3 linked regions of the Arabidopsis thaliana genome follow. The protein of the gene in region 1 interacts with the protein of each later gene in a pairwise test. Each region holds a gene or a part of one and is shown on either strand. Other genes may lie near its edges. The genes, in order: AT3G46600, BEE3 and DPA.

Evidence for each region.
Region 2: the proteins of AT3G46600 (region 1) and BEE3 interact in a two-hybrid assay, tested with the Arabidopsis thaliana proteins (one large-scale study listed by BioGRID).
Region 3: the proteins of AT3G46600 (region 1) and DPA interact in a two-hybrid assay, tested with the Arabidopsis thaliana proteins (one large-scale study listed by BioGRID).

Annotation. Positions count from the first base shown.
Region 1 is NC_003074.8:17,151,112-17,161,957, forward strand, and holds AT3G46600 (GRAS family transcription factor), read left to right. Parts: upstream 1-6,812; 5' UTR 6,813-6,936; coding exon 6,937-8,688; 3' UTR 8,689-8,854; downstream 8,855-10,846. Other genes in the region: TRFL1 (TRF-like 1), read left to right, coding at 2,531-2,611, 2,706-3,270, 3,338-3,481, 3,568-3,630, 3,720-3,799, 3,883-4,079, 4,167-4,460, 4,528-4,591 and 1 more; AT3G46610 (Pentatricopeptide repeat (PPR-like) superfamily protein), read right to left, coding at 9,113-10,846. UniProt on the Arabidopsis thaliana protein: Probable transcription factor involved in plant development.
Region 2 is NC_003070.9:27,755,278-27,766,123, reverse strand, and holds BEE3 (BR enhanced expression 3), read right to left. Parts: upstream 6,184-10,846; 5' UTR 6,098-6,183; coding exon 5,726-6,097; intron 5,616-5,725; coding exon 5,499-5,615; intron 5,411-5,498; coding exon 5,345-5,410; intron 5,271-5,344; coding exon 5,202-5,270; intron 5,099-5,201; coding exon 5,021-5,098; intron 4,862-5,020; coding exon 4,778-4,861; 3' UTR 4,568-4,777; downstream 1-4,567. Other genes in the region: ESP1 (hydroxyproline-rich glycoprotein family protein), read left to right, coding at 31-108, 382-420, 506-1,063, 1,178-1,258, 1,636-1,824, 2,062-2,187; AT1G73820 (Ssu72-like family protein), read left to right, coding at 8,722-8,731, 8,928-9,180, 9,536-9,681, 10,164-10,384. UniProt on the Arabidopsis thaliana protein: Positive regulator of brassinosteroid signaling.
Region 3 is NC_003076.8:537,032-547,877, reverse strand, and holds DPA (Transcription factor DP), read left to right. Parts: upstream 1-2,922; 5' UTR 2,923-3,163; exon of another isoform or gene 3,164-3,448; 5' UTR 3,449-3,454; coding exon 3,455-3,573; intron 3,574-3,660; coding exon 3,661-3,722; intron 3,723-3,805; coding exon 3,806-3,849; intron 3,850-4,088; coding exon 4,089-4,160; intron 4,161-4,248; coding exon 4,249-4,389; intron 4,390-4,483; coding exon 4,484-4,552; intron 4,553-4,773; coding exon 4,774-4,872; intron 4,873-4,950; coding exon 4,951-5,021; intron 5,022-5,114; coding exon 5,115-5,316; 3' UTR 5,317-5,560; downstream 5,561-10,846. Other genes in the region: AT5G02460 (Dof-type zinc finger DNA-binding family protein), read left to right, coding at 6,820-6,876, 7,187-8,329. UniProt on the Arabidopsis thaliana protein: Involved in the regulation of the G1/S transition. Increases the DNA binding and the transactivation activities of E2F proteins after heterodimerization. The complex DPA/E2FA promotes cell division and acts as a regulator of the endocycle.

The sequences.
Region 1 (10,846 bases):
TGAACCTGATTAATTCTCTTTACTGAGCTAAATTTTTTACTGACAAGTCTATCAAATTTTACCATCATACTTAAATCCTCAAAAACACATAAACTATACAGTACTTTTTTCTTATTACGTATTTACTATTCTATGCATGAAATTGCGTAAATGTTTGGTTGTATGCATATTAGAATATTCTTTTTATTTTTCTCTCCAACAGATTTAATATTGAACGGTGGTGTTCGTATGATATAAATTCAAAACCACCCACCTTTTATCCTTTCGAACTTTTTCGAGATAGGATAAGATGACATAATTATTTTATTTGTAATTTAGGAAAAGGGGTAGGCCTTTTTTTTTTTCTTTCAAATTAATGATTGTGGGGCTAAAAAAAATAATTTGTGTCCAACACAGGATATAATATTTTGAAACTTGAACGTAAATGTTGACTTTTGATTTTTTTTTCTTCTCAGCTTTTGTTAAATTTAAACTCGTTCCCTTATCAGATTTATTAAAATGGTGAGTGACGAAAAAAAAAAAAATGGTGAGTGAAACGTTAGAGAAATCGACGTATGAAATGAAATTATGAGAGTGTACAGAGAAATATTTGAACAATACTTAGAGCTGACAACAAATTCAAACACTGAATTAGTTCTTGAAGACAAACTCGCTCTTTGCTATAGTTGAGGAGAAGAATCCCACATACTCAATTATAGATCGAGAACGAATCTTTACGTTTTAGTTTTCTTGTCACATTTACTATGTAAAATGGTTCATATTATTATTAAATTTTCATTTATTTTCAAAATAAATTTTTTACAAATATATATATATTTTAATATGATGTTAAAGGTTTTTGTACATAAATTACCTTTTAATTTTGTTTGGTTTATTTAGAAATCAAAATGTAATTTATTATCTACCTAAAAACACGGTTCTTTCAGTATAAAAATTTACAGAATATAAATCATTAAAAGCAAATAACTAATTAGTATTGTATTAAAAATTAAACACTTATCTAATAATACAAAACTTTTGTTCTAAAACATGAAAACGGAAGAAGTATGTTTCTTTTAAAACTATGAAATTCATATACCATATTCAGTTTTATTTAATATCATTTAATATGAATCGACTACCTCATAATTATACAATATAGCAAACTAGGGACCATCTTATCTTTTACGTGATTCCTAAAACATAAATATTTATGGGAATGTTGCCCAAAAAAAAAAATATATATATATATATATTTATGGGAATTTTATCATTTTCTTCCTATTAAGAAAAACCTCAAAAATAAAAATATTAAAATACAAAAGGAAAACATAAAAGCACAAACGAATATTCCAAATATAAACTAAAAATAATACTCATAAACCCAAAAATACATTTTTCCTTTCCCGAAATTCTTTTTTTTGTTAATATTATTATCATGACAAGACGAAATTTACTCAAAAGGCTACGAACCAAAGCCATGTGATGACTACATCAGTACCACGTGTCAAGATCTAAGGACTTAACGAGTTACGAGTGTGTCGTGGGCCATCGACCATGGAAAAGCAACGAGTCTTTAGGTGAATGTTTTACTTGCTATAACCGGTAACAACGGGTCTGGTAATACCGGTAGCTCCGGTGGTTGGTTGAGTTATATGGCTATGGGGGTTTAAGCAAGAAAGACGTGGTCGTGTTCTTCTTATAAGGGTTTTTGTTTATAATTTGGTAATCGAAAAAGAGAGATTTGATAAAATCCTTTGTGTTGAAGGAAAAAAAAATCATATAGGTAACGTTTGATACAAGTAAAAAAAAAAAATTTCCATCACTTTCTTGGGTAAAAAAAACATGGGTTAGAGGAAAAACTGGGGAAAAGATTTTAGATTAAGTGCGTAAAGAATTCTGATTCCTTCGTCTCCGATCTCTCATTTTTCTGGAGAAATTGTCAAAAATTTCAGATATCTATATTGTCTTGGAACTGAAGATTCATCGAAAGGTGAGAAAGATTTAAACTTTTTTTGATGGTTTTTGTGTTCTCGATTTTGTCAAAAGTTTTTGTGTTTGTTTGATCATCGAGAAACTTAGTAAAAATTCATTTTTTATGTGAATTTAGATTTGGAATTTTCAAATTCAAGTTCTTTTGGTTTGGATCTTAAAAGGGTTTTTGTTATCTTTTTGAACTTATCATCATCTTCGATTGAAATTTTTCGTTTTCTTATATGATCAGAATCATCTCATTCATCGATCTGTGAACTCCGATCTGAGAATTTGAAAGTGTCTCTCTTTTTGTTCTAAGTTGATCTGTTTATCCTTTAATTCAAAGATCGAAGCTTTTTTATAATTGAATTACGTTTTGTGTTCTTCAATTCGGATCTTGTGTTTATTAGGGTTTTAGAATGGTTTATCAGATTTGATTTGATATTACCGATCTGTGATTCTTGAATTGAATTGAGTCTTCTTATGGTTCTTGTTTCTTATATACTACAGATTGGTGAGTTTTATTCGCTGCTTATCGCTTGTGGCAATCACATCATCTGTGTTATGCATCCAAGTAATGGTGTCACATAAAGTCTTAGAATTTGGAGATGATGGTTACAAATTACCTGCTCAAGCTCGAGCTCCGAGATCACTCCGGGTAAATGACCCTTTGCTATATTCTCTGTTTAGCTGTTAAAGAATTTATCAGTTACATGAATGATCACTCGCATGTTTGTTCACATTTTTGCTAGAAGAAGCGCATTTACGAAAAGAAGATACCAGGAGATGATAAGATGTGCGCGATTGACTTATTGGCCACCGTAGCTGGAAGCTTGCTTCTCGAGAGCAAAAGTCCGGTAAACGCGTGTCTAGTTGTACAAAATACTGTAAAGAATGAATACCCGGCTGATGAAAACCCCGTAAAGGCGGTTCCTTATTCGGAATCCCCGAGCCTATTTGACAATGGCAAGTGTGGATTTAGCTCTGTGATAACAAATCCTAATCACTTGTTGGTAGGTGACAAAGTAGGAAAGGAGGTGGAGGGTTTTAGTAGTTTGGGTGTGAGTGGTGATGTAAAGCCTGATGTTGTAGCTAGTATAGGTAGTAACAGTAGTACCGAGGTGGGAGCATGTGGGAACGGTAGTCCCAACGAGTCTCGGGATGATGTAAATTTGTTTAGTAGAAATGATGATGATGAAAACTTTTCGGGTTACATTCGAACTCGTATGACTAGGCCTGTGCCTCGTATTGGAGACAGAAGAATTAGGAAGATATTGGCATCTAGACATTGGAAAGGAGGTTCGAAGAACAACACAGGTAAAATCGCCTTTTGTTTTAGTTTTGACTATCTTTATTATTGTGATTTGATGTTTGGTATTTGCAGATGCAAAGCCATGGTATTGCTCAAAGAGGAGTTATTACTTGCACCATCATCAGAGGAGTTATCCCATCAAGAAAAGGAAATACTTTGACAGTGTTTACGACTCGAACTCTGATGATTACCGTTTGCAAGGAAAGACTCATAAAGGTCCAAAACTTGTAATCTTCTCATTCTCTTGTTAGTATGTTGTAAGTCTTTGCTGTTGTAACACGGTTTTGCAAATTCATCCGCAGGAAGCAGAACAATATCTTCCATGAAAAGTCGAAATGCGTCCTTTGTGTCAAGGGATCATCATGGTAATTTAATGGAGTCTCAAGTCTCAATCTATCCTTTGTTCGCTTATTGTTTCGTTGAAATATTTTTGTTTTGTTTTGTTACTCTTTAGTGAAGCTGCGGATCAAGTCTTTTAGGGTGCCTGAGCTTTTCGTAGAGATTCCAGAAACTGCTACTGTTGGCTCCTTGAAGGTGTAATAACAAAACCTAGTTGTGCTGAAAATCCTGATCAAGAAGAACTTATATTTGTATTTTTGTAATGTCGGGGTTGTCAGCGGATGGTGATGGAAGCAGTGACCACCATACTGGGTGATGGACTTCGAGTCGGGCTGATGGTTCAAGGAAAGAAAGTCCGAGATGATGGCAAAACTCTTCTTCAGACTGGGATCTCTGAGGAGAACAACCACTTGGATTCTCTTGGTTTCAGCCTTGAACCTAGCTTAGAGACCACCCCTCAACCACTGTTATCCAGGTTCACTCTTCTCTTCACTCTCAGAGATGCCACATCGATAAAAAATCAATCTTTTGCGGCTTAAGGGCCTTGTTTTCTCTCTGCCAGTTATCTGTCAGATCATGCCTGTGATGATGTGACGTTATGCCACGACAATGCGTTGGATTCTAGTCATGAGCCAGAACCATCCCCAGCTGACTCATTTGGGAAACTAGGCACAAGTGATCATTCTAGAGCTTTGATTCCTGTTGCCTCAGCAGCAATGCTGGCTCCTCGGCCTCCTAACCGTAAGTTTAAAAGGACTGAGCAGCAGCTAGCTGCACAACGCAGAATTCGTCGACCTTTCTCAGTTACTGAAGTAGAAGCACTGGTCCAAGCCGTTGAGAAACTCGGAACCGGAAGGTACAAAACAAAGAAATAGCACTTTCTCTTCTTCATGTTGCTGACAAAATGTGTTTGAAAACTACAGGTGGAGAGATGTGAAGGTTCGTGCTTTCGAGGACGCAGACCATCGTACCTATGTTGATCTCAAGGTTAGTTAGTTTTTTAACTAACTCTTAACCTTAATATATACAGTTTGGTATTGAGTCTTTGCCTTTGTAGGATAAGTGGAAGACGCTGGTCCACACGGCAAGGATATCTCCACAACAGCGGAGAGGAGAGCCGGTGCCACAGGAACTTCTGGACCGTGTTTTGAAGGCACACGCTTACTGGTCACAACACCTAATGCATCAACTGCAGACTGAGCCACCATCCACTCAGGTAGAGGCTCTCTAATCTGAACAGGTTCTTGGTCTAAAGAACCTTTGTGTATTATTATGATGATCCATATTGTAAGATTCTGACATAGTTGAAGATCTGGTCTCAGTTCTTCTTTGTTTTTTTTTTTCTTTCTTTCAAATGTAAAGTTTTATAATTGGAAATAAGGTTGGGTTTTTTCTAACAATGTAAAGGATTTGTTGTAAATCTTTGGTGACATTTTTATTCTGTCTATATGATTTATGGCTCGGCCTATCATATCACAACGACAACGAACTGATATATATATACCTCATCCAAACTCTAGGAGTGCTGGAGAATTCAATTGTTGGATAAATTGTTACTCAAGCTGGTCTATGTTTGGTCAGTTTATGGTTCACATGTGTCCTATATTAGGAAAGAATACACAGAAGCTTGTGCTTGTGAGTGGTATGTGTGCTATGGTATTTACCTTAAATACGGGTCGTTCAGAGTAATAAGCTGGTCTCAAAGCCTCTTTTAAAGGCTATAGCCACAAACAAAGGCACAAAATCCTGGATCTCTAACCAGTAAAGAAGTCGATGTTGAACTAAAGTTCGCAAATATTTGCAGATAGCATTGAGTAGGCAAGCTCTTCCCACTTTTTTTTTTTTTTTTTTCACTGAACTGTTGCCTTTCATTGAATATTGGAGTTTGTGAAAAAATTTAAAGCAATTAGCAATAAAATCAAAAGGATATTGAAGTTTACATTTGGACCTGGACGAGATAATAGAGGATAACGTTCAATTTATTAGAAGTTATGATGACTGATATATTTACCGATTTAAAACTAATATATTTAGCAACTTGACGCAGCAAGAAAATTATGATTCTTAACTAATATACACCATATTATATATATTTAGAAGATTTAATTAATATTTAAAATTATGCTTTTTATTTGATTTTGTTTTAAATCGTCATATAATACATAAAATAAAATCAAAAAACAATTTTTTTTTATACATATATTGTGATTTTTAATTTTAAACACGGACACGTATTACCCAATTGACAAAATAATGTGTATGTTTAATGTTCCACATTGACTAAAATATTTAGACAATGATTCAGAATCATATCATATAATGAATATTTACAATAATAAAATAACTGGGTTTTTGTTGGAATGGGTTTTGCGGAACGGATTTTTGAATCTACATTAATAACAAATTAAAATATCATTAATCTGCCGTTTCAATACATATTAAATCTTTTTTTTAACACCACTAATATTATACATATCAAATCAGTCTGATTTAAAAAAATATATATAAAACCAAAATGTCTCATGGTATAATGTTACTATATAAAAATTGTAAATTATAAAATATTAATGTCTTAGAGAATTGTATAATTTTCAAACTTTTATATATAATAAATAATCATTAAATTTTAAAAATCACTACTTAAAAAAAAAAAAAAAATCAAGGGACAGGTTATACAATTAAGATTTACATCTTGTTTTTTTTTTGGAATTTTGGTGATGTGGTAACAGACTACTAAATAGTTTACGCGTATTATATGCAAAATAAATTATCAAACAAATATATTGTAGTAAATTATAAAATTTACTATATTATTATTTAAAAACTGAAATTTGCTTGTGTCTTGTAGAAAAAAAAACTGAACCAAAACAAACTTAATTTACTTCGAAGTTTTATATTTCGTTATACAAAAAGAAAAAGTCTAAATTTCTAAATACATTTAGAAAATATATTCAAGGTAATAACTAATAAGTCAAATATTTGACCAGACAAGTGACCAAAAGGAAGACAACAACAAGAAAACAAATAGCTTTTTAGCCATTTGGACCCACGACAGTAGATAAAGTCTTGGACATATTATTACTAACCTTTTGTGGCGGCTTAGTGTTTATCTTCAACCCCACACATTCTCTGTTTCCTCGAAACTTCATTTTTCTTCTTTGCCAAGACAAAGATTAAATAAGACAAATATCAACCCTATCCTTTGTTTATATCAACAACATCTCGCAACTTGTGTTCACATGAAACTTCTCACTACTCTCTTTCATTTCCTCTTTTCGTTGACTTACTAAAGTACTCTTGTTTCAATCTTCATTCTAGAGAGATTCTGTTTCATGGATGCTATTTTGCCAGTACCCGTTGATGGGTTCAGATTCGACACCGGTTCTGGATCTTGTTGCAAACCGAGGAACAATCTTGAATCTGGGACGACCAATCGTTTCACTTGTTTCAACGAATCTGAATCTCAGAGCAACCCTTCTCCGACCGAGTCTAAGGTATGTTCAGATTACCTTCCTGTCTTTAAGTACATCAATGACATGTTGATGGAAGAAGATCTTGAAGGTCAGTCTTGTATGTTGGAAGACAGTTTGGCTTTACAAGCCGCAGAGAGATCTTTCTTCGAAGTGCTTCAAGATCAAACTCCAATCTCGGGTGATCTAGAGGATGGTTCTCTTGGAAACTTCAGTTCTATAACGAGTTTGCATCAACCTGAAGTTTCAGAGGAGTCAACCAGAAGGTATCGACATAGGGATGATGATGAAGATGATGATCTTGAGAGTGGAAGGAAATCGAAGCTCCCTGCGATTTCTACGGTGGATGAGTTAGCAGAGAAGTTTGAGGAAGTGTTGTTGGTATGTCAAAAGAATGATCAGGGAGAAGCAACAGAGAAGAAAACAAGACACGTAAAAGGCTCATCGAATCGATACAAGCAGCAAAAGTCAGATCAGCCAGTAGATATGAGGAATCTTTTGATGCAATGCGCGCAAGCTGTGGCGAGTTTTGACCAGAGAAGAGCTTTTGAGAAACTGAAGGAGATAAGAGAACACTCTTCTCGCCACGGTGATGCGACTCAAAGACTTGGTTATCACTTTGCTGAGGCGCTTGAAGCTCGTATTACAGGAACCATGACTACACCAATATCTGCTACTTCTAGCAGAACATCAATGGTGGACATTTTGAAGGCGTACAAGGGATTTGTTCAGGCTTGCCCCACCTTAATAATGTGTTATTTCACTGCAAACAGAACAATCAATGAGCTTGCTTCCAAAGCAACCACACTTCACATCATTGATTTTGGGATTCTCTATGGATTTCAATGGCCTTGTCTGATACAAGCTTTGTCAAAACGTGACATCGGACCACCACTGCTCCGTGTGACTGGTATCGAGCTTCCTCAGTCAGGTTTCCGTCCATCAGAGCGGGTAGAAGAGACCGGGCGAAGACTAAAGAGGTTCTGTGACAAGTTCAATGTCCCGTTTGAGTACAGTTTCATAGCCAAGAATTGGGAGAACATAACTCTTGATGATCTGGTGATCAATAGTGGCGAGACAACAGTTGTCAACTGCATCCTCCGGCTACAATATACACCTGATGAAACCGTGTCCCTCAACTCACCGAGAGACACGGCTCTGAAACTATTCAGAGACATCAACCCTGACCTCTTTGTGTTTGCAGAGATTAACGGGACTTACAATTCACCCTTCTTCCTAACAAGGTTCAGAGAAGCTCTCTTCCATTGCTCGTCACTCTTTGACATGTATGAGACCACATTATCAGAAGACGACAATTGCAGGACACTGGTGGAGAGGGAACTAATCATAAGAGATGCAATGAGTGTGATAGCCTGTGAAGGGTCTGAGCGGTTTGCAAGGCCAGAGACCTACAAGCAATGGCAGGTTAGGATTCTAAGAGCAGGATTTAGACCAGCGAAACTAAGCAAACAGATAGTAAAGGACGGGAAAGAGATAGTGAAAGAACGTTACCACAAAGATTTTGTGATCGACAATGATAACCACTGGATGTTTCAGGGCTGGAAAGGAAGAGTCCTTTATGCTGTTTCTTGCTGGAAACCTGCTAAGAAGTAATAAAACAGTTCTGTAATCATTTGCATAATTTTGCTAGCTTTCCATTTCTTTGTTTTTGGTTTCAAAGTGTTGTAGAAACTGTTTGCTCTCATATATATTGAATGAGTCTCTCTCTTTCTCTCTACTTTCTTGCAAGTACATATGGCAAACCAAGAATTCAAAACTTATTTCAAAAAGATCCATAACTTTGAACTGAACAAACCAGTTTGCATATCAATGTGTCTGATGATAATACAGATGTTGTACGAAGATAAAAATTCACAATATAAACAGAGAGACTAGACAAACTAAAAAGAGTATTAAAGAACAAGAAAGTGATTACTTGGAAACTTTCTTCTTCCCTGTAATGGCAATTTTCTTGCCTTTAAGGGTCCTTGGATGCGCCTTACCCCACGGTAACCTTGTACAATGTGTTTTCGTCAGACTAAGGTCTATTCTTTTTGTCTGGTCGAGGACCCAAAAGATTAAGATCAATGGTGGCTCCATAAGTCTCAGCTGATTTAACAACCGCATCATATGGCTTAGAAGAGAGTTTAAGCCCTTCGTTTTGAGCCTTCACATGTAACTCATAAGCAAGCCTTGGCTTTGCATCATTTGCAAGAGCCTCAATCAACATCTCGTAAGTTATCTCGTTAGGCTCAACATTCTCACTTTTCATTCTATGAAACCACTCATAAGCCACACCACTTAACCCGTTCCTCGCGCAACCACTTATAACCGCGTTGAAAGTCACAACGCTCGGTTCAATACCCTTTGAAGCCATTTCCTTGAGAAGGGTATCCAAAAGATTGAACTTTTGCTGTCCTGTCAAAACTGAAGCCATTGTTGTGTACGCGTAAAGATTTGGCTCAATCCCTACCTTAATCATATGGTTCCAAACCCGAAACGCCTCATCATATAGCTTCCCTTTCTCAAGAGCACTGAGTAGTGCACCGTATGAGATGACCGTTGGCTTTTCACCATTGTCAACCATTGCTTTAAAGATTTGGATCGCAGCTGTGGTCTCAGAGGCTTTTGAACATGCTACAAGAACCGCGTTCCAATGTCTCCTCTGCGGTTTCAATCCTTTATCTTCCATTTTGTTAAGTAACCTAACTCCCCATCTCCATATCCCTCTCTTGCTAGCTGCACTCAGCAAGATATTGAAATGAGAGACCACTAACTCATAAGACAAATTGTTAGGTTCAGGTCCTTCGTCAAGAAGATCCTCGTAGATCTCCAACGCTGCCCACCATTTCTTAGCCTTACCCATCAGCCAAATCAAATGGTTGCAAACAGACAGACTTATCTCAGAAAACCTCTCTCTGATTCTTTTATACAACTCTTTACCAACAATATAATGCTCTTCACGAGTACATGCCCATATAAGCCTCTCGTGCTCTTCCCTACTCGGTCTAACCCCTGCACTGTCCATTGCATTCAAAAGCTTCAACACTCTAGTAGTCCAATTATCATCTTTCACCAACCACCGCCTCATCACTTGGTAGCATATTCTACCAATAAAGTTCTCAAGCTTAACAAACTCAAATTCCCAATCGTAACCAACATCATTCCCTATTTCCCTCTTTGCGTATTTCTCTCTCAATTCAACAAAGAACTCTAAAGCTCCCATACCGTCTTCCATTCTTCTGTAAACAAGCAAAGCCGTTGAATATGTAATCGGGTTAGGCTCAAAACCCTTTTCCTTGGTTAAATCAAGAATCCCAAGAGCCTTGAGAAACTCACCTTCCTCCATGTAAATAACCATCAAAGTATTGTAAGTAACAATGTTTGGAACAATCCCTTCTTCCTCCATATCTTTCAGTATCTTCTCTGCTTCCCCAAACCCTCTCATAGCACCCAAAAGGCTGTTATATATAAAAAGATTTGGACCTATGACACCGCCTGATTCACTCTTCTTCCTCTTAAGCCAATCTACTACAGCTACCGCAGGCTTCAATCTCTTGTCCTTGCCAAAACCCTTTATCATAGCACAAAAGACTTGCAGAGGCAACTCTCCCTTGTCCTTGAGAACAGCATCCACATCATCAGCTGTCTTAGCAGCTCGTAAACTAAACGCTAATTCTCTAACATCAACTCTTAAATTGTTCTTTTCTCCTCCATTTGCTGAACTTAAATCTTCCGTGGAAACTTCTTCTTCCCCGAGCTCGAGCTCTCG
Region 2 (10,846 bases), on another chromosome or scaffold:
TTTTTTGATCAGTCGAATCTAATTGTGCAGACGTTGATTGATCAAAACCATCAACAAGCGAGGGAGATTCTGATTCGGAACCCTCTTTTGACGAAGGCTCTTTTCCAGGTTCTTCTTCACTTCGCTAATCTTTTCCATCTTCTAAATCTGCAATCCGTGTGGTCTTATAAGCAATGAGGAATTCTGATTTGGAGCTTCTTACTTGAGTAAATTGATTGGACTAGTTTGGGTTTAGTATTGTTGAAGAAGCAGGTAGGTTAACAATTAGGGTTTTGTGTTAGTTTCCAGATATGAACAATCTTTAGGTTTATGCCTCTATTTACAAATAGATTTCAGAATTTGTATATGGTGATGATGATGCTATGTTTGTTGAAATGCCAGGCACAAATCATGCTCGGAATGGTTCAGCCTCCTCAAGTGGTATGTACTTGCGTCCTCTTAAGTCATTTTGTTAATAGATTTCATTTCAAGCATCTTAAATTTTACAAAAATCTGTTTCTATTAGACTCCGAAAGTTGAGCCACAAGCTGTACAACAACCTCAACAATCTCATCAATCTATCCCGCCAAAGCCAAACGTTCAAGCTCATATGTCTTCTTTCCAAGGCGGTGGCAGTGTACATGAGCCAGCCAATACGATGCAGCCACAAGCCCCGATTCGAAAACACCCAACACCACAACCAATGCCTATGCCTCCACCACCGCCTTCTGTTTCTGCAAATAGTGCTCAATCACAGCCTCGTTTTTCGCATCCCCAGCGTCAGGGACATCTGAATCCTGCTGTCACTTCTATGTCTCATCCACAGTCTTCTCAAGTTCAAAACGCGCCTCCTCCGGCTTCCCATCATCCAACATCCCAGCAACCTCCTTTTCATCATCTTGATATACCAGCTTCCTCCACTCAGTTGCAACAACAACCAATGCACTCTGGTGGAGGTCCTCATGTGGCACAGCAACAGTCTAGACCATATCATCATCAATATGGACAAGCTCAAACTGGTCCAAACACTGGATTTCAGCACCATGGCGCACCTACTCAGCATCTTTCTCAACCCATGTATCATGTGAGTCAGAGTTATGACTTATGAGTAGCTATTGTCGGTTTCCTTTTATTTCCCTCATTGTGAATTATGAAGTTTTTGACTGACTAGAACTCGTTATTTGAGCCAATTTTGCAGTCAGGCAACAGACCCCCTGCTTCCGGTGGACCTCAATTCCCGCAGGGACAGCCACATCTGCCTAGTCAGCCAACATATCAGGTATTGATACTCTTACTTTTTGACCTTTAGGCGATATGTTTGATGTTTTGCAGACTGAGTATGAAATTATGTTGCTTTATCTATGTGCTTTCTTCCGAGCACTACACCTTCAACGAGTAGAGATTACCCTTTAATGAGAATTCTCTCAAACATCTATCATTGTTATTCTTAATCAGATATGAGAAATGATTTCTTCTGGCAATAATTCTTCTCATCTTTTTTCATTGTCAAGCTATCATCATATTTCTAGACTTCTAGTTCTGATTCCGTTAAAATCATGTTCTGCTTTAGATTAATAAATCATCTAAATGGAAACTCTACATCTTTTTGGTTTTGCTTTTGGGTCTCACTGCTTGTAATCTTGTTTATTGTTTCAGGGAGGAGGTCAATATCGTGGAGACTACAACAATAACCAATTAGCAGGTCTGATGGCTCAAGACAGAGGTCCTTCTTGGATGGCTGGCCAATCAGAGAGCTCGAACATTACTCATCTGCCAGGCTTAGGACCGGTGCCTCCACCAAGCCAAGTTGGGCCTGGAGGTGGCCCACCACCTCGCCCTGCACCGGTAATTTATCTTTTAACTGCAAGGCACAGCCATTGAACCGCTGTTACTGCTAGGATGTATATTCATGTCGATGACTCTGTAGTTTTATTAGCCCCCCCAAATCAATCAAATTCGACGTTCCTTTCCAGTAGATGTTGTAGTTGTCTTTTGCCGGAATTCAAAATGAGAATTTCTGATTACAGAGCAAAGAGCTTTTGTTATTTTTTGCTGATGATTGTGTTTTTCTTACTTGTGCAGATATCTGCAGAGATGGAGAAGGCACTACTTCAACAAGTGATGAGCCTTACACCAGAGCAGATCAATCTGCTGCCACCAGAACAGAGAAACCAAGTCCTTCAGCTTCAACAGATTCTCCGACAGTGAATCTCATAGATAATCGCTTGGTCTCCTCCATGTTAGAACTTTGAAGAGACAGGTTTTGGCTTTGAATGTAAGGCCTGAGTTAAGTTTGGGATAATTTGTAAAAAGAAGAAAAGTAATTAGATTTTTTCAAAGTTCAAGGTATCACTAAATACCTTTGGTCATATCCCCTGGAGAAAATTTATGTGTTCTCTTTGATTTAATGTTCAGTAACAATTTTCTTCCTGAATTTCAAAGTTACGAAATCTTGCTTACAGTTGTTTTGCAGACTCTTTTTTCACTCTTTTATTGCAGTTGTTCCAAGGAAAACAAATTATGCGAAGAAAATCGTAATTGCATACATGTTTTGATCATAAATTTTCTAAGAAAAATAAAATCGTCTGCATGTTTCTGGTGCTGTACTGTTACTACAATTGTTTTAGTAGATATGACTTAAAATATTAAGAAAGTATTAAGAATACTTAAAAGTGGAATTGAAGATTTTGTGGGTTAAGTGTCTTAAGTGTTAAGACTTCAGAGATTTGAGGAGCTAAACAACTCCTCCACATTCAAATGGAGTCACTTCCAAAATTTTGGTGGTTGGTGGTTCCCACAATGTTTTTGGATCCTTGAACTTGCCCATTTTTGTTCTCTGCCACCAAATGATGTGATCACCAAATCTATTAATAGAATACTTGTTGGTCCCAAATATTTATTTGTTTCCCAAAACTATCCCCTTCAACAATATATTGAATTATTTTTCATTTTTTTGATTAATGTGTTAAACATTTGTTCTAAGGTCTAACCATGAAAGAGAACCTTTAAACTTATATCTTAGAAAGTTTGGATTCATTGATTTGTTGATCATTTCCAAAAGGTAAATCATTTTTTTCATAGACCATGTTGTAATAAAAGTAATATCCCTGTAGAACTAGAAACAATCAACCACTATGCAATTGAACTATTCAAAATTAGGCATTTTGATGTATTTTTTATATAAAAATATATGCAATAAGATGAAAATGAAGAAAAAAGCCCCACATATTTCCATCTTCTTTAGGGCATGTAATGGTCCATTTCAAGCTGTCCTCCCTAGTTTCATGGATGCATACATTGCATCTATTTCCCCTTTTTCTTTTTCCTCGTTATATATAATTTTTCCTTTTCTATGTTCAAGTTTTATCTTCTGCTTTCGACTAATTTATTTTGAGATTAATTCATCTTTAAAGCTCTAGACTAAGGCACAACCATTTTGAGAGCAACACATGCCATGGATCATCCACTTCCACTTTTTGGAGTTTTCTCTTATAAGTTTGACCATTTATGAGTACACATGCCATGGATAAATTTGACCAAATGGACTAAAGGAAAATGAAATTTAATATTATTGATGATGAAACAGAAACACTAATAGTAATACAAACTAGTAGTATTATTACATGCTAAAAGAAGAACAGATATTTAGAAGTTTCACAAATGTTCTTCCCAATCATGTTTACAATGAATTGGGAACATCAATCACAGTCTATGAACTATGGAACCGTCATTCATGCAATAATTCATTCAATAAAAGGAAATTAAAGCTATGTTTAGATAAGTACATAGTCCACACAAAAAAAGGAAGAAAAATCTTTGGTTGTTCAACGATTAAACACGTCCCTTCAAAGTCTACAATCCACATTCTTTCACAAATTGCATAAAACCTCTCTTTGTCGTTGTGTTTCGTTTCGGAGACATACATCATTATGTCTTTCTTTCGATAGTAACAAGTGAAGGGTATTTTTGTCATTTTCTTCCACTGCTCCTGATGTCCAAGTCCAGTTGTTGTTCAAGTTTATCATCTTTGCTTGTCTTTATTTGACCTCAATCAAAGTTGCTGATGCAAAAATTTAATCTATATTGTTGTAAATATAATGTAGACACTTCCAAATATTAAATATTCTTTTTATTTTTCTTAAAACTGAGATTTGATGACTATTGTTTTGGACGTTCAAGGCTTTCCAGCTGTGGCTGATTTGAAAATTTGAAGAGATTATATGTATTTTTCCTTGTTTTTTACTAACATTGATATATATTTCTTTGTTTCATACAAAAAAATAATAAGTTTGAATGTTTGATACTACATTTACGTGACAACATGATTTATATTTTCTATAAACTGCCTTATAGGCTTATATTCGAACTTATTATACACTAATCGTATTATAGTTTTTAACTAGCTAAGCCGAAATAACATTCCTCATTACTATTCTCTAAAGTGTGATTGATGAGGAGGCTTCGCTTCTACAACTTTCAAAACACTTTAAGAATCAATCATATTGTCAAAATTATTGTGGGATCTTACTAAAACTTATGTCAAAAATATGGTTGGATAGACTGACACTAATTCATTGTGGTTCCGACTTTTGTCTGCTCGGTAAAATTTTGATCGTTATGTATCCCCACTTTGAATGCAATCTCGAGGCAGTATATATATTTGTAATGTCGAAGTTACACAAGTATACATATCATATGGCATCGAGATTTCTTGAAATTAATCTTTAAAAGTATCTTTTTAAATCCAAAAAAAGGAAGAAAATTAGAAAGACAAAAAAAGGAGAGCAAAAAACAAAAGTCAAAGGGTCCACGATGATGAATGGAAGACAGAACTCCCATCCCTCCCTTGACCCATCTCCACTGCCTCACGTGCCTTTGCCTTCTGCGCATTTTAATATTCCAATTAAAAATCGATATTTAAATCATCTAATTATAATCACATCAAACCATATAGTTAAATTAAGAAATAAATAAATCATAGCAAACATCACCAGTCTTACGAGAAAATTTTAATTAAAAGTTATAATTCTAGATTCTGTACCTGCATGGATTCCACAGCATCAGTCTCCGAGTTAAAGTCATAATACGAACTTGCTGCTGTAAGCTTCATAGATAAAAACTGAGTTCACATAAAAAAGAAAGTAAATTAGTATAATTATTGAAACGAATGGAATTGGTTAGATGACCTATAACTTAAGAGAAATTAATTGTTATTGTTATACCTCGACTTGATTTTGTAAGGACTGGACGTAATTAATTATCTCATCAAGCATAGTAGCCATTCCCATTGTCTGCATCACCAAATATATATTCAATAAAAGAACTAATAATATATTTTCTTAAAGTCTAAGCAAAATATAATCACCTTATAACATCCGGGGACTATATCTTGCAAGCATTTCAATCTCTCGTTTATTTTCCCTCGTCGAACCTGAAAGTTAATTTTAATTTTTTTACTCATAGTTTTCATTTATATTATTTATGTACACTATAATTTGTATAGAGAAAATCAATTTTACCCGTTCTGCTATGCTGTGGCTATCAGTGGCTTGGCCTCTTCTAGCTCTAACATGAACAACTTCTCTCTCTTTCTCTTCTTCTCTATTCTTCGACCTCTTCCCTCTCCTTGAAGAATTCTGTGATATCAATAAGAAAAAAGAGAAAAACAAAGTTAGATTAATTCATAGAAACTGAGAGTACTCTAATATATGTGTGTGAAATTAGGGTTTCTAGGTTAATAAAATACATTTTTTGTCGAAATATTTCCATTTATGGAAACTTGAGCAGAAGAGGTAGAGAGAGTTTGATCAGAGACACTGTTCTCCGACGTAGAAACAGCTTCCATTAATGATTTTCTCTTCTTGGTATCGAATTGTGAAGAAGACTCTTCGTTGTTTTGGATATTAGAAGGGAAGAATATCCCTTGATGAAAATTATTCTCGAGAGATTTTCCGGGAAAATGATCAGGGAATTGATTATGAAAGAAAAGAGAATCGAGAGAAGAAGAGAAAGGAGGAGGAAATGTTTGGAAATGATGAAGCGTGTTGCTCAGTTCTGCTAGTTGTCTTATGGGATCATCCATTGTAAATGTCTGAAAATCAGAAGAGAGATTCGCCATTTCTGAGTTTCAATTTTTATTTTTTTTTTGAAAATTGGTGAAAATAGAAAGTGGCTGTTTTCGAGCGAGTGGCAATGTTTATATATAGACTAGAGTTTTCTTATTATTATTTTTTTGAAAAAAATTGGAATAAAAGTGGGGTTAATCAAAAAGATGAGAAAATAAAAAAGGAGGGCCAATGAAAGTGAGAGTTATGGGATTTTTGTATAGGAGTGGGTCACACATAATTTATCAGGAGATATATCCAAATAGAGAAGTGGGCCAACGTTTGGTAGCCGGACCAGTGAGCACTGTTTAAGCAAACTTCTTTCATTATTTCTCAAGGGGGAAGTACTTACTTAAGACCTCCTCAACAAAGTATTTTATTTCAATTGGTGCTCCCTTTTCTGCTTTCTTCTTCTAGTCTATTGTGATTTGTGACCAACGAGCGAGTAATCCAATCCTATTATCGTACATTGATTGCATTTGCTATATGGATTTAAGATTTCATTGGTTATACAGTTTTAGTTATTTTACCGTTTAGTATTAAACACTTTGGTAAGAAGAATAAAAAGTTGTATGGATTATATTCAAGAATAGTTTGATTGATGATATTCACTGGTTTCAAATAGTATTAACATTTTTAGTTAAATAGTACCTATTTATGTTAAACAAAAGAAATATTTTTGTATGATACTTATAATGTGATGTGATAGTATACGAGCTAAATTAATGTTGGCTATTTATAATTTTTTTTTTTTTTGGAAAACAATATGTGGATTATGCAGATTTACATCCGAATTAAGACGTATCGACCACCTTGCCACAAACTAGTAGCAGAATACATGTCATGATCGATTTATCTATATTTATAGTTTATTGAATAAACATAATTAATTAACTTAGCTAGGTCTACTTTGAAATTTAAAATGTGGTCTAAGTTGAAACTTAAAATGTCGAAATCAATATAAGTTCGTTTTAACTTGGTTTGGTGTCTCTAGACTTCTGAAAACGTTTTTCTTTCTGGTATATTTTACTATATAGTACAATTAGGTTCCTATCAAATTAAGTAAATTGACCTATCACTATATACCATTTTCAACTGATCAAATCACATGCAGTTACATATGCATTCAAGACTCAATCTAACTTGTTGTTTTGACTTTAGGCATTGTTATTTTTAATACAGTACTTAACTAATTGACACACCGGAAGTGCTGATAACAAGCATAAATGGTCAAATCTTTTGAATAATTGTTCGACAATCTTTTTAAACCCCTTGATTTTTTAATTCTTTTTGATAAAATAAAACCCCTTGAATTTCCAAAGCTTTTTAGGAACAGACGACATATATAAGATTTTGAACGAGTCTTTAGTCCCTAATAGTGTTGGACAAAAATAGCAGCCAATTCAAAGTTTTTGATTTACAACTGAAACAAATAGCAAACCCCAACTTGAAGAAAGAAATCCAAAAACGACATAACTGAGGAAAACAGTAACTGAATACAAGATGTATGCTACATATCAAACTTTACATAACATACCAGGCCCGACCATGAGTGTATTACTGGGTCTAAAAAAACAAAACAAATAACAAAAACATAATTGTAAGAAAGAAAAAGTCAATTGATGGCAAAAAAAAAAAAAAAAAAAAGAAAGAAAAAGTCAAAAAAAAAATTTGTAAAATTTGAGACCATAAAAACTAAAAGAGTAGTAACTACTAAACATTCAAAAGAATTTTACTAAAAAATGTTTTGTCTTCAATTTTAAATACATTTTGAGGTTTATTAGTTTGATGGGTTTTAGGCATGTACCTGACTTGTTACACACATGATACACCCAATCGAAAAAAATCAACAAATAGAACGGAACCGGAAAACGATATCACATAGTATAAGACTACATAGCTTAGTTTTGGTTTTAAAGAAAACTCTGATAAAAAAAAACCGGTAGTTCGACTTCTTTGCATGTGAAACTAAACTTCCTTAGTAATAATACTTAGCTTGTTCAACTTTTGTTATGGTCATTAATTAATTATCTCTTTACTTAGAAAACAAAAAGTCCTATAGTCTGTAATTAGGTTGGTGCCAAGCTGTTCCTCTTTAGGAAGATGGAACTTGAAGTTGAAATTATCGTACCTATAAAAATTATTACTTTGAAAGACATATTACCTAGGTTTGCCTAATACAGCTCCACTAAATCAGACTCGATTACGCAAAATAAACATAAACTTCGAAAATACAAATTTTCTTCTGTTGCTAATTCATATCAAATTATGTATTAAGATCTCAAATATAACGAACGATCCATAAACATATAATTTAAAAGGTCCTCTTCTTTGTCTCTTTATATATATATACACGTAAATATGGGTGACCTTACATGTTTTGATCTTCATATTCATCTACCTTCGGCGAAGGAAGACATCGAAATGGAGTTCCTCGAGTACTCCTCAACGATGCTATCATCATGTCCAGCCGCTCCACGTCCACTACTTCTTCTACTCTTAAAACTGTTTGGTTCGCTTCCGTTTAATCCAAAAGTTCTTGAACCGGCTCCTGTACCGGTCCCGGTACTTGTATAGCCGCCTCCTCTACGACCTTGGAGTCCAGGCCGACCCGGTTTAGGCAATCGTCTCTGTTGTGATGTTGATTGGTAGGTAGTCCTCTCTTGTGATGTTGATTAGTAGCTTAAATGTAAAACCAAACAATTTTCGTGGGTCAATAAAAGCAAAAATGAAAAAAAATATTCGATCTCTTAGTCCGGCCCATGATCAGTTTCAGGCCCAATTCAATCCGTCGCATTATTAAAAATCTCTGAAATCGACTTTTAACTTGTGAAACCGTCACAGTCGCCGGGAAAAAATCACAGATTTCTTCGACGCCGCCGATGAGGTTCCGGTACGCAATGGTTTGTTCGTCGAATCAGAACCGGAGCATGGAAGCTCACGCTCTTCTTAAGAGACAAGGACTCGACGTTGCTTCGTACGGGACTGGGTCACATGTAAAACTACCTGGACCATCTCTGAGAGAGCCAAACGTTTACGACTTTGGAACTCCTTACAAGCAGATGTTCGATGAGCTCAGGCGCAAAGATCCTGAACTGTATCCTCTTAATCCGTTCCTTTCTTTTGTTGCTTACGGATCATGATTTTTCGAATCCCTAAGTTTGCTTTGGTCACTGAATCAGTCTCAGTCTCCTTCTAATTCGATAATTTGCTTACTTTCTTAGTCTCCTTGAAATTGTTTCCTAATTCACATTTAAGTTTCTTGGTTTGATTTAAGGTATTGATTCTGGGAAAAAGTATGTTTTCTTCTCTCCAAATGACTGAAGAAAAAGTGTGTGCGTTTTAGTAAATATACGAAATTTCTTGCTTGTAGCTATTGTGAAGCATGTTCATTGGGTTGTATAGGGAGATTTGTAAGCTTGAAGTTTGATGCACTTAACTGTTTTCATCAGATACAAGCGGAATGGTATTTTGCAGATGATTAAGAGGAATTTATCCGTGAAACTTGCTCCTCAAAGATGGCAAGATAATGCTGGTGATGGTGTGTTTGATGTGGTTATGACTTTTGAAGAAAAGGTTTTCGATTCAGTCCTTGAAGGTAATTGAAAAATCCTCCCTATTTTACAGTTAGATACTTTGTTTGAAAATTGCTTCATCCTGATTGCTCACTACGTACATATTGATCACAAACTCTTATAACATTGGAAGAAAAAAATCCTGGTATCAGTAGATTTGTTCATCAACTTATCCCATTTGAAGAAAATCGAAATGTTGACACTTTGATCTTCTACATGCATTGTTTCCGAACAATCTTCTCATTTGGTAAATTATGTTAAACTAGTTAGGTTAGATGTTTACATATGTGAATTGATGAAGTCTAAGTCATGTGAAACTCAAAAGTTCTGCTTAGTGATTGCCGTTTCCTGTAACTTAGTTTACTTTTTTACCTTGCTGTAATTGTTAGCTGAAAACCCGATTGCAATCATGGTTTGATAGAACTGTCGGTTTTCTTGCTGCGTGAAACATTCCTGTGTCTTAATATCTTTATCTCATCAAGTTAGATTTGTCCCCAATCTGCAGATCTCAACAACAGAGAACAATCACTTACGAAAACAATACTTGTGATGAACTTGGAGGTTAAAGATAACCACGAAGAAGCAGCTATAGGTGGCCGACTTGCCTTGGAACTCTGTCAAGAGATTGAAGGGAATGAAACATGGGAAGATACGATCGATGACATTGTTGCGGGTTTTGAAAAACAACACAGGCGGAAACTGGTCTACAGCATCTCATTCTACTGAAGATACCATCATCAGTCGCATTAACGGTCAGATTATGTAGAGTGTTCTTCTGTGACCCCAGTCTTGAGATGTTGAACAAATTATTTTTAGTTCATCGGTTTTATATGTTTTAGGGTTAAATACTTGAGAGTGTAGAAGAAATTGCATGTTAGAAACTGAGAATTCGTCTTCCAAACACATTCTCTTGTGTTGTTTCTCATTACTTGAAAGTTGAAACAGAGCCTTGTCAAAAAAAGTAATAAAAATATAAAAGATAGGTGACACACGACATGTCTTAACCAAGCATTACTTCATGTTTAATGTCACAATCTAAGTTAACGTGTTTATATAAAACCCAAGTCGTGTACCAATTGAATTAACCCTACCCCTAAAATCCTGTACAAGTCAATTCAATGTTTCTAGTTAAATCCAAAGCCCGTGAGATCAGATATTTAAAGACACCCAATGACGAAAAGTCTCTTT
Region 3 (10,846 bases), on another chromosome or scaffold:
GAGATATACATATCGAAACTAAAAATCTTCCCTTTTTTACATTCAAAGTATCACAACCTAAAAAAAAACAGACCTTTAAGAACGAAGAACCTCTAAGAAGCTAAACCCAGAAAATACCTTTTGAGAGAAGCAACAATGAATCGTGACGGGTTCCACAGTGAAGAACACAAAAGCTCCCCCATTTTCACTAAACTTATCAAAATCCAATCTTTTTATTCTTCTTCAAAGACTTGTTTTTGGTGTTAGTGAGAAAGCTTCTCTCTTTTGGAAACGGTGGGGGAGGAGAGGTGTTTATGTAAGAAGAAGATTGGATTAAGGGGAAGGTTCGTTCGTGGCTGAGTGAAAGAGAAAAAGAGAGAAGGAGCCTGAACTAGATACCACCTGATCCCCACTCTCTCTCTCTATCTCTTATTAACTAGTCTTATTTTTATAGGTTCCATCTAGACAAATTAAACAATGTTTCTTTTTCTCTCTTACGATTTTATGCTTTGCTTATCGTGGTGTTACATGTGCTTATCAACCAATAAATTTGATAATTAAAACCGGTTTGCGGAATTTTTTAATTAGATAAACAAAATAAAAAGCTTCATATCATTCAAATGCCAAAAATAATTAAGGGAAATAAACCGGTTAACTTTTGTCTTTTCAAAAAAAAAAAGTAATATTTAATCATCTTGTAATAAACCGAATTTCGCATCTATCTTGTTACAAGCAACAACTTTTTATATATCAAGAATAGAATTATGATGTGTCTTGAGTTTGATGTGAGTAATTGAATTTTATGTGTATGATATATGTATGATTTCTCGTTACCGATGTGTATATGATTTTTTTGTATGTATTGTATATGTAGCGAAAACTCTTGTTTGTGATAGGTGTTGTTATAATCTTGCTAGATAGTTGTGGTCTATGTGGAGACATTGTTGGTGATTAGTTGAGTGATATGATTACTAATCCTAAAATATTATTTAAATCAATTGTAGTGACGAATTGCATTATTGTGCCCCCAGTGAGTGTAACAAAATTAATACTATTTTTTATGTATAGTTATTTATCCATTGAAGTAGGATTATGCGTCATCATCAGTGTTTAGTATACATCGGCCTACGAATTTAATTAACTAATCCAGCTTTGTTGACTATCTAAGTGTATTATAAATTCTAAAACAATCGAATCAAAGAGTTTGAGGATAACTACGAGGACAACATATTTTTTACTTTAAAAAAAAAAAATGCATTTTGAGTCAGTTTTATGAGTATCATATTAGCTTGTTGATGTATTTCACCATGTCAGTTTTTAATTTATGAAGGCGAGTAATGATTGTGTAAAAACAATTTTGGGCAAACATAGGAAAAATATAAAAAACATATTAAATTTCCAAAATTAAATAAATAGTCTATTACTCTACTAGATTTCAGATGTTAAGAAAGAAAAAGCTACTGGAATAAATACGCATACCATATGATACGGTAACATTATTTTGTTTATTGTATGTTCAGTTCCTCAAGGGACACTTGAACATTATGAATAATATATTTACTGCAATAGATATAATTGTTTATGTGATATAAACGAAAGTTGACAAAAAAAGAAGACTAATTAAAGAGTAGAATTAGTGAACCAAAAAAAAGAGAAGAAAGAATCAAACATGACTTTAAAAACTCAATAATTGAGATCTGAGAAGACATTGAAGATGACCCCAAAAAGATATTGGGAGTTGCCACCTCTCATCTCCCAAAACAACGACAGATATACAAACAGCAAACAAACATTTAAATAGATCACACTATTTCTTTTTTTTGTAATGACAAAACATATATTTATATATTCTGACAACACATAGAAACATCAAAGTAAACAAATCAAATTTGAAGTTATATTGTTTCAAAATCTTATGATAGTGCATAGCTATGAATAGCATGAGGAATTGATTAGTCCATACCGGTCTGATTAAGGTATACGAGAAGGAAGGTATACATAAAGGTTAAACAAAAAAAGAGGTGAAGAAGAGAAACATGGCTAGTGAAACTCTAAACGGTTGGAAATGATGATGAAGCAATGAGTAAGAGAATGACTCTCCGCAATCAAGCAGCGTAGGAACTAGGAACAGCTTTGGTTCTCATGGCCATGCTCCAAACTTTCTTATCAACTCGAACTAGTTAAAACTACAAACAAAATAATTTAATTTAATCTTCATATGGAGAGAAAAAAAACAATCATGGAGAACAAGTGGCAAGTACCAAGTGGTTGCAATTATCATAAACATATCCTTTTTCAAACTTTAAAGCTTTTAATCGGTTAACAACTTGAACAAACAGTTATGCTGAAATTTATCATATAGTTTTCAGTACTATACGAGTACGATCATCGTATAAAGAAGAAAAAGAAAAAGGATCAAGCAACTATGCATATATTCTTTCGATCTAGTGAAAGTGCAACGCAACCTTCTCACACGTTGCAGGCTTAAAGCACTAACGTGTAAAACTATAAGCATCTTAGAAAAGAAATAAAAAGTATATGAGAATAGTGAGTTTTTTTTTTTAATAGTTACAAGTTGATGATACGGACCATGTCTTATATATAAGACGAAAAAATCATAAACTTTATAAGCTAGCGATAATGTTTTCAATAACTTAAATGCATACGTACCAAACATTTTTTCAAGATTCAGTGAACTTAATATTATTATTTTTTAAACAATTGGATCGAATACAAACACAACTGTCAACATATGTAATAGAGACAGCCAAATTTTCATTATTTATTTGGTAACGTTATCGATTATCAAAGAGTTTAATACGTGATCGATTTTAGACATATAATTAGCCCAACGGGCTTAAAATTACAAAGAGTTACAAAAGGCCCATTTAAATCCCCCGCCAAAGTTGAAAAACGACACCGTAGCGGTTGGGTTCGAACACAGAGAGTGCGTGTGTTTTGTTTTTGTTGAGGCTTTTGATGGGCTATGGAGAATTCTGTGTTTGTTTGTTGTTACAGTTTGTTTGTTTGTTTATAGCGGGAACTCTCACCCAAAGTAATTTCATCTCCGATTTTTTTTTTTTGGTTGTTGTTCGCATCTCTGTGTAATAAAAAGAGTAAAACCAAAACCCTAGAAAAAAAATCTCCATCTTTTTTTATTCCGCCATTGGAAGATCGATCACTGGTTCGTTCTTTGATCTTTTGAAACGGATTCGAGCTTTAGCCTTTATTTCTCTGAACTAGGGTTTTCTTCACCATCGTTAGATCTAATCCAACTGGTTGATGATTCCCATTTCATAAATTTTGTTTAGCTTTTGTTAAAAAATTGAAATTGGAGCTGTCAACAATTTAGGGTTTTTTAGATTGTGTCTATTGATTCATCGGTTTTAGTCAACGATGGATTTGAGACATGAACAACTAATTGATTTGATTTCGTGTAGCTAACTTTGTTAATTGGTAAATTGTGTAGAGAAGGATGAGTATGGAGATGGAGTTGTTTGTCACTCCAGAGAAGCAGAGGCAACATCCTTCAGTGAGCGTTGAGAAAACTCCAGTGAGAAGGAAATTGATTGTTGATGATGATTCTGAAATTGGGTCAGTGTTAATTATTCTTCTTACTCACAAAGTCTCTGGTTTTTTTACTTGGAGCTAAAATGTCTGTATTGAATTTGTGTTTAAAAGATCAGAGAAGAAAGGGCAATCAAGAACTTCTGGAGGCGGGCTTCGTCAATTCAGTGTTATGGGTCAGTGATATATCTCTCTTAGCTCAAACATGCCTGAAGTGAAAGTATTGTTGTTTTGCTGATTTTGATTTAACTTCACACAGTTTGTCAGAAGTTGGAAGCCAAGAAGATAACTACTTACAAGGAGGTATTACTCTCTTTGTTCCATTAAGGAATTGGTGATGTAATCAATGAGTTTTCAGTTTAAGACGCATTAGAATTGATCTTTATATGAACAAGTATTCACTTCAAGAAGCAATCCTCTAAGTTAGTTGTTGAGCATTGTCTCAAATTCTTCTTCTAATCAGGAGTCTTGCCCTTATATAGAGGCATTGTATCAGAAAATGTGAAAATCTACGTTTGAGACTGTGGCTCTTGTGATTCCAGGTTGCAGACGAAATTATTTCAGATTTTGCCACAATTAAGCAAAACGCAGAGAAGCCTTTGAATGAAAATGAGGTATAGCGAGATGGAAAGCTCATATCATCTGTCTTGAGTTATTTGGAAAAAAAAAAAGCTATAACAACATTCTCTTATGTTCAATCAGTACAATGAGAAGAACATAAGGCGGAGAGTCTACGATGCGCTCAATGTGTTCATGGCGTTGGATATTATTGCAAGGGATAAAAAGGAAATCCGGTGGAAAGGACTTCCTATTACCTGCAAAAAGGATGTGGAAGAAGTCAAGGTTTAGCTTCCAAGCTTTTCCTTTCAGTTATCTCATCTATGTAATTGCTCTCTCTCTTCGTCTTCTCTACTAATCTCTCTACCTCTATTTGCAGATGGATCGTAATAAAGTTATGAGCAGTGTGCAAAAGAAGGCTGCTTTTCTTAAAGAGTTGAGAGAAAAGGTGATCTTCTTTCTGTTTGATGGAAAATTTAAATACAAGACTCTCTTAGAATTTGAGATCTTGTTATGCATGTCAATAGATGACAAAAGTTATTGATATTGCAGGTTTTCTAGAATCCATAGATACGTCGTGTATTGAATCATTTTATGTTGTCTTAATGAAATGTTAAACCGTCTTTCTACGTTTTGCTTATAATGTTACTCAAATGTTGTTATCATCAGGTCTCAAGTCTTGAGAGTCTTATGTCGAGAAATCAAGAGATGGTTGTGAAGACTCAAGGCCCAGCAGAAGGATTTACCTTACCATTCATTCTACTTGAGGTACTTCAAAAATCTCTTTCTCGTCCGTAGTTTCTATTTCATGTTTTTCGATATCCTAATCTATTTCCATCTCTATAGACAAACCCTCACGCAGTAGTCGAAATCGAGATTTCTGAAGATATGCAACTTGTACACCTCGACTTCAATAGGTAAAAATAAACAACATTTCTTCTCAAAATCAAAATCAGTTCTGCTATCTCTTAAATCGGAATTGAAATCTTCGTAAATTTTGTTGTGAGCAGCACACCTTTCTCGGTCCATGATGATGCTTACATTTTGAAACTGATGCAAGAACAGAAGCAAGAACAGAACAGAGTATCTTCTTCTTCATCTACACATCACCAATCTCAACATAGCTCCGCTCATTCTTCATCCAGTTCTTGCATTGCTTCTGGAACCTCAGGCCCGGTTTGCTGGAACTCGGGATCCATTGATACTCGCTGACCGAGCTTCTATTCCCAAATTCTTCAAGAAGAAGAAGTAATGATCTAATTGGTATACTAAAAAATTATACATCTGGTTTAGTGTTCAATTGAGAGAGACTGTAAAATCAATTCATAGGCCAACAAATGTTTGTTTATCCAATTTTCCTTTTTATTCGAACTTGATGCGATATTTCAACGGAAACAGAAACTATTGTTTTAAACCAAAACTAACCGTGTTGAATCTATTGGCTATTTTCCTTCTGTTTGATTGGTCTAACAAATTTAGTCTCCGGTTAGGTTGGTTTACCGAAGCTAGTTAGATTCAATTTACGCGCTTAAATGGCGCGTGTGCTAGGAAAGTTCAAAATTTGCAATTCCCATGCAAAAATAATGTTTTTTGTCTGGAAAAGGAAAAAAAGAGACATCGCGGCGGTTCGAGGGAAAGAAAAGCGAAATTGGTTGGGGACACTTCGGAAGAATGTTGGACTGTTTTTCAATTGCCGTCAAAATAAATACTATATACTATTCTTTTCATCAACTTAATCTACTCATTCTCAATACATTTTAAATCAATATCATCTAATATTATTTAGTAATTAGTGTTGGCCCATTTTAGTCCAATCTATTAGTTACTTGTTTAGTTAAAGTTGAGGTATATAGACGTACTAAAATTCAAGCACAACCAATTTCTCTTCTGTATAATTAGATTTGTAGCTGATATAGTCCACAAAAGCAGTAGATATCATATCAGCCCTAATTTTCTTATAGAACAACTAAGATATATCACAATTGCAGTTTTCTCTTGAATACCACTAAGTACTAACGTCACCTAGATCCAATCCTAACGTTTATCATCTTTTATTTTATTTTTCGATTTTTTGCATGCTAATTAAAACGTTTCTAAATATCTTGACGTACATCAATGTTTTCTGATTTTTACTGACTTTAAAGTTTAAACCATACAACCAGTCAAGCTAAGTGCTTTTTTCTTTTATTTTCTAAAACTGTGTATATGTATAATTTGCACACATAGTACAGAAGTAGCAGTATTGCCAGAAAGAGAGAATCAGAAAGAAACTTATGGGTTAAGCAATCGGACACACTCACTCTCCTCCACCTTCCCAAAACCCTAAGCAAATATGTATATAATATATAAAACAAAAAGAGCCTCGCAATAACACTGTGGACACACTCAATTCTTATTTTATTCATCTATATATATAATTAATATGATATTCAAACATATTCTATATATATATATATATGTGTATATGTGTGGGTATGTATATAAATGAATAAAGGTTCTTCCTTTACCTTTGCCTTCTCTCTCTATCTTTCGCTAAGCTCTCATCTCCTCTTCTTTCCTCTCTCTAAAGCTCTTCCCTTTGTTTTTATTGATGTAATTCTCCACTTCTTCATATAAGCCTTCACCAAAAAAAAAATCAGCTTTAAATCCTTTATTTGCTCAAAAAAAAACAGAAAACTAAAGAGAGAAGATATCATCAAAGAAGAAAGATCAAAGATGGTTTTTTCTTCATTTCCTACTTATCCTGATCATTCATCAAACTGGCAACAACAAGTAAGTTCATGATCCGATTATCTCTTCTTTTACTCTAAATGGCTTTTGTTGGCTTTCTTTGGTTTTATAATTTATGAGTACTCAAGAACCAATTTAAAGAAGAAGAAAAAAAAACATAAAGAGAGATTAAACAAACAAGAAAAAAGGATAATAATATTCTTGTTCCTTTTGTCACTTTTAATCTTTGTATATCTGTGGTTGAATTTGAATATACTCATAAAATTAATTCTTTCTTTCCTTCTTTATCAAAATTTTCACATATTCTAAAAACTTTTTGTGTTGTTTTTGAATCATTTCTTCCTCTCTTTAGCATCAACCAATCACAACCACCGTTGGATTCACGGGAAATAACATCAACCAACAGTTTCTTCCTCACCATCCCCTCCCACCGCAACAGCAACAAACGCCTCCGCAGCTTCACCACAACAACGGTAACGGCGGAGTCGCTGTTCCCGGTGGACCTGGCGGGTTAATCCGACCAGGTTCGATGGCGGAAAGAGCAAGGCTAGCCAACATACCATTACCTGAAACAGCCTTGAAGTGTCCAAGATGTGACTCAACTAACACCAAATTCTGTTACTTCAACAACTACAGTCTCACTCAACCTCGCCACTTCTGCAAAGCATGCCGTCGTTACTGGACACGTGGCGGTGCTCTAAGGAGCGTTCCCGTCGGTGGCGGTTGCCGTAGAAACAAAAGAACCAAAAACAGCAGCGGTGGAGGTGGCGGTAGCACCAGTAGCGGTAACAGCAAGTCACAAGACAGCGCCACGAGCAACGACCAATACCACCACCGAGCCATGGCTAACAATCAGATGGGACCACCTTCTTCGTCATCGTCTCTAAGCTCGTTGCTGTCTTCTTACAACGCAGGGTTAATCCCCGGACATGATCATAACAGCAATAACAACAACATACTTGGACTTGGATCATCTTTGCCTCCTCTTAAGCTTATGCCTCCTTTAGACTTCACAGACAACTTCACCTTACAATACGGTGCCGTTTCAGCTCCTTCTTATCATATAGGCGGTGGAAGCAGTGGAGGAGCGGCGGCTCTTTTAAACGGTTTTGACCAGTGGAGATTCCCGGCAACAAACCAACTTCCTTTAGGCGGTTTAGACCCGTTTGATCAACAACATCAAATGGAGCAGCAGAATCCAGGTTACGGATTGGTTACCGGGTCGGGTCAGTATCGACCTAAGAACATTTTCCATAACCTTATCTCCTCTTCTTCGTCTGCTTCATCAGCTATGGTTACAGCCACCGCGTCGCAATTAGCTTCAGTGAAAATGGAAGATAGTAACAATCAGCTCAACTTGTCTAGACAACTTTTTGGAGACGAACAACAGCTCTGGAATATTCATGGCGCTGCTGCAGCATCCACCGCAGCTGCAACAAGTTCGTGGAGTGAAGTCTCTAATAATTTCAGTTCTTCTTCTACTAGCAATATATAAACAATCATCTCTCTAAGTGATCAATATATGTGATGATGCAATTATGCTTTTATTAGTTTCTTATTGGGTGTGGTATGATCTTATGTACTTAGTTTGAAGTTAGTACATCGATCGATCTATACTAGGTTTTTGTTTTTTCTATTAAATTTTCGTTACTAGTTTTGGGTTTTCTTTTTTGGATTTTCTATTAAAATTAGGGTTTTTTTTCTGTTGCAGAATTTATTTTTCATTTTTCAGTATGAAGATATCATCATACATGCGTGTAATGTGTTCTATTATATAACATATTTTTATTTATTCAAAATTTTGAATGAGGTTATATATACATATTCTCCTGTTGTTGTTTTTTTTTTAATTGAAATCTCTAACCAACTTAGCTTGCAGCACATTAATCAAAGTATTTCTGTCGCAGCAGCTATAACCATGATCCATATCATTAGCTACGAGAAGGCATAATATTAAGAATCCATTTTTTTGTTGGAATTTAGAGATAACATTTTTTAGTTTAACCATGAAAAAGTATGACAACACTTGGAATTAAAATGTCTGAAAACTAAAATGGAATTTTAAATCGGTGACCTTTAGTTTCTGTCAAAAAATTATCTATTTTAATCTATGACATTCAAAAGCACATTACCAAAAGAACATTACCAGTTCCGGATTATTCACCTAAAGACTTGATTATACTACGTACATGTGACTTGTACGTGCTTTATGTTTCTTTTTAAGCCATATGAACTGAACTACATGTCACCAAATATTGTGGAGAGCTTTTGAGTCTAATATCTCATAAACAAATTTAAACTATAGTTTATGATGATATCGGTCCAAATGCCGCATAGTTTTCTGATTATTCCATTTTTAAAATTATAGTCTCTTTTACGGAATACTTTAATTAGACTTTTTGATGATTTTGATGTAAAGCAAAGAAGAATCTATTTGAGACTTTATCTACAAGCTAGCTATTTGAACATCTAACTAAACTACGTATACTCAAATTCGTAGGTAATTTGAACTAAAATTTCAATTTAACACGCATTACTGCAACAATGAAATTCAATTATTGACTTTGTTAAAGATTTGTTCCTCATATCATGAGTTAATCATCACATATGATTTTGTAACAATTAGTAAATACATATTCATGACATATATACAAGATTTCATTTAAACATGTGCTGAAACTAACTAACGTCTAACCCTCACATCCAGAAAGCCGGAAGAGCATTATATTTGAATATTTTTTGTAGTAAGAAATAGGAAAACGATATATATTAATATGTGATAGTGATTAATATTAAAATGATTGTAATAGTATTACCTTGTAGCTATTGCATGAATCATAGTGATTATATAATGATATATTGCAGAAAATATTATTGGAAGTAATTAAGGGACAATGATTTCGTTATGCACTGCAAAGGAACGTTCTTTGTCAGTCCCGAGAAGTATCGTCTTGCTGCCTAATTTATAATACAAAATTAATATTTCTTCATAAAGTTACTAATAGTAATAGTATTTGTTTTCGAGTGTGTGTATGTATAAATATACGTAATATGAGTAGTGGAGACCAACCCGCTAAGTATATTAGATTATTTTTGCGCAATGCATGAATGATCTTTGATAATGTATATAGTTTTCGAAAAGAAAAAAAAAACATATATATAGTTTTGAAAACGACAAAACAATATTGATGGACAAAAAAGTTCATCTTATATAGCGAGGATAAGAAATGAAATGATGAATTATTGTAGTAAGTCAAAATATTGTTATTAGTTTAATACCATAGTTAAATTAATAAGGAATATAAGTATTGATTAACACATAGATACTCGTCTAGACAAATACTGTAATTTTGCTTTGTCAACAATGATTTTAGAGGAATGATGCTTTACCAACTAGAAGACAAATCTTGGAGTTTTATTGATAAAAGTCATTGGCCAACATCGATAAGTTGCACTATGATACATGCTATTTTTGTACTATCTTAATTAGCACCCAAAAATAAGAAATGAGGAAAAATACAAAATCATACATCTATGAATTTTTTAAGTATACCGTATTTATATTAGACGTCAAATGAATTTATCTGACTTGGTCTAGTAATTAAAATGACTCCAATTGTTTTACAATATCAGTTGTGAAAGTTCGAACAACAAATAATAATAGACGACGAACATAAAATATGATATTTCTTGAAAGAATTTCAGATAAAAACTGAAGTAAAAGAGACTGAAATCTAACGTAGTAAACGACGACCGAATCAATGTCGGGACAATGAGCAAGATAAACGACGCGCCTTGGGAGAGAGCAAGAGGCTCGTGACCGTCACGGACCACTAGGCGACAAAAGTAACGGTGCGTCAGGGAGGTGGGAACCCACGCGCAAGAACCGAGAGATTCGATCTTGAAATTACACGCGCTTCGATGCACGCGTGAGAATTTGAGCCCAAAACAAAATCCCAAACTCTGTACTTCTGTTTTTCGCTTACATGTGACTGACAGACAACCAAACTCT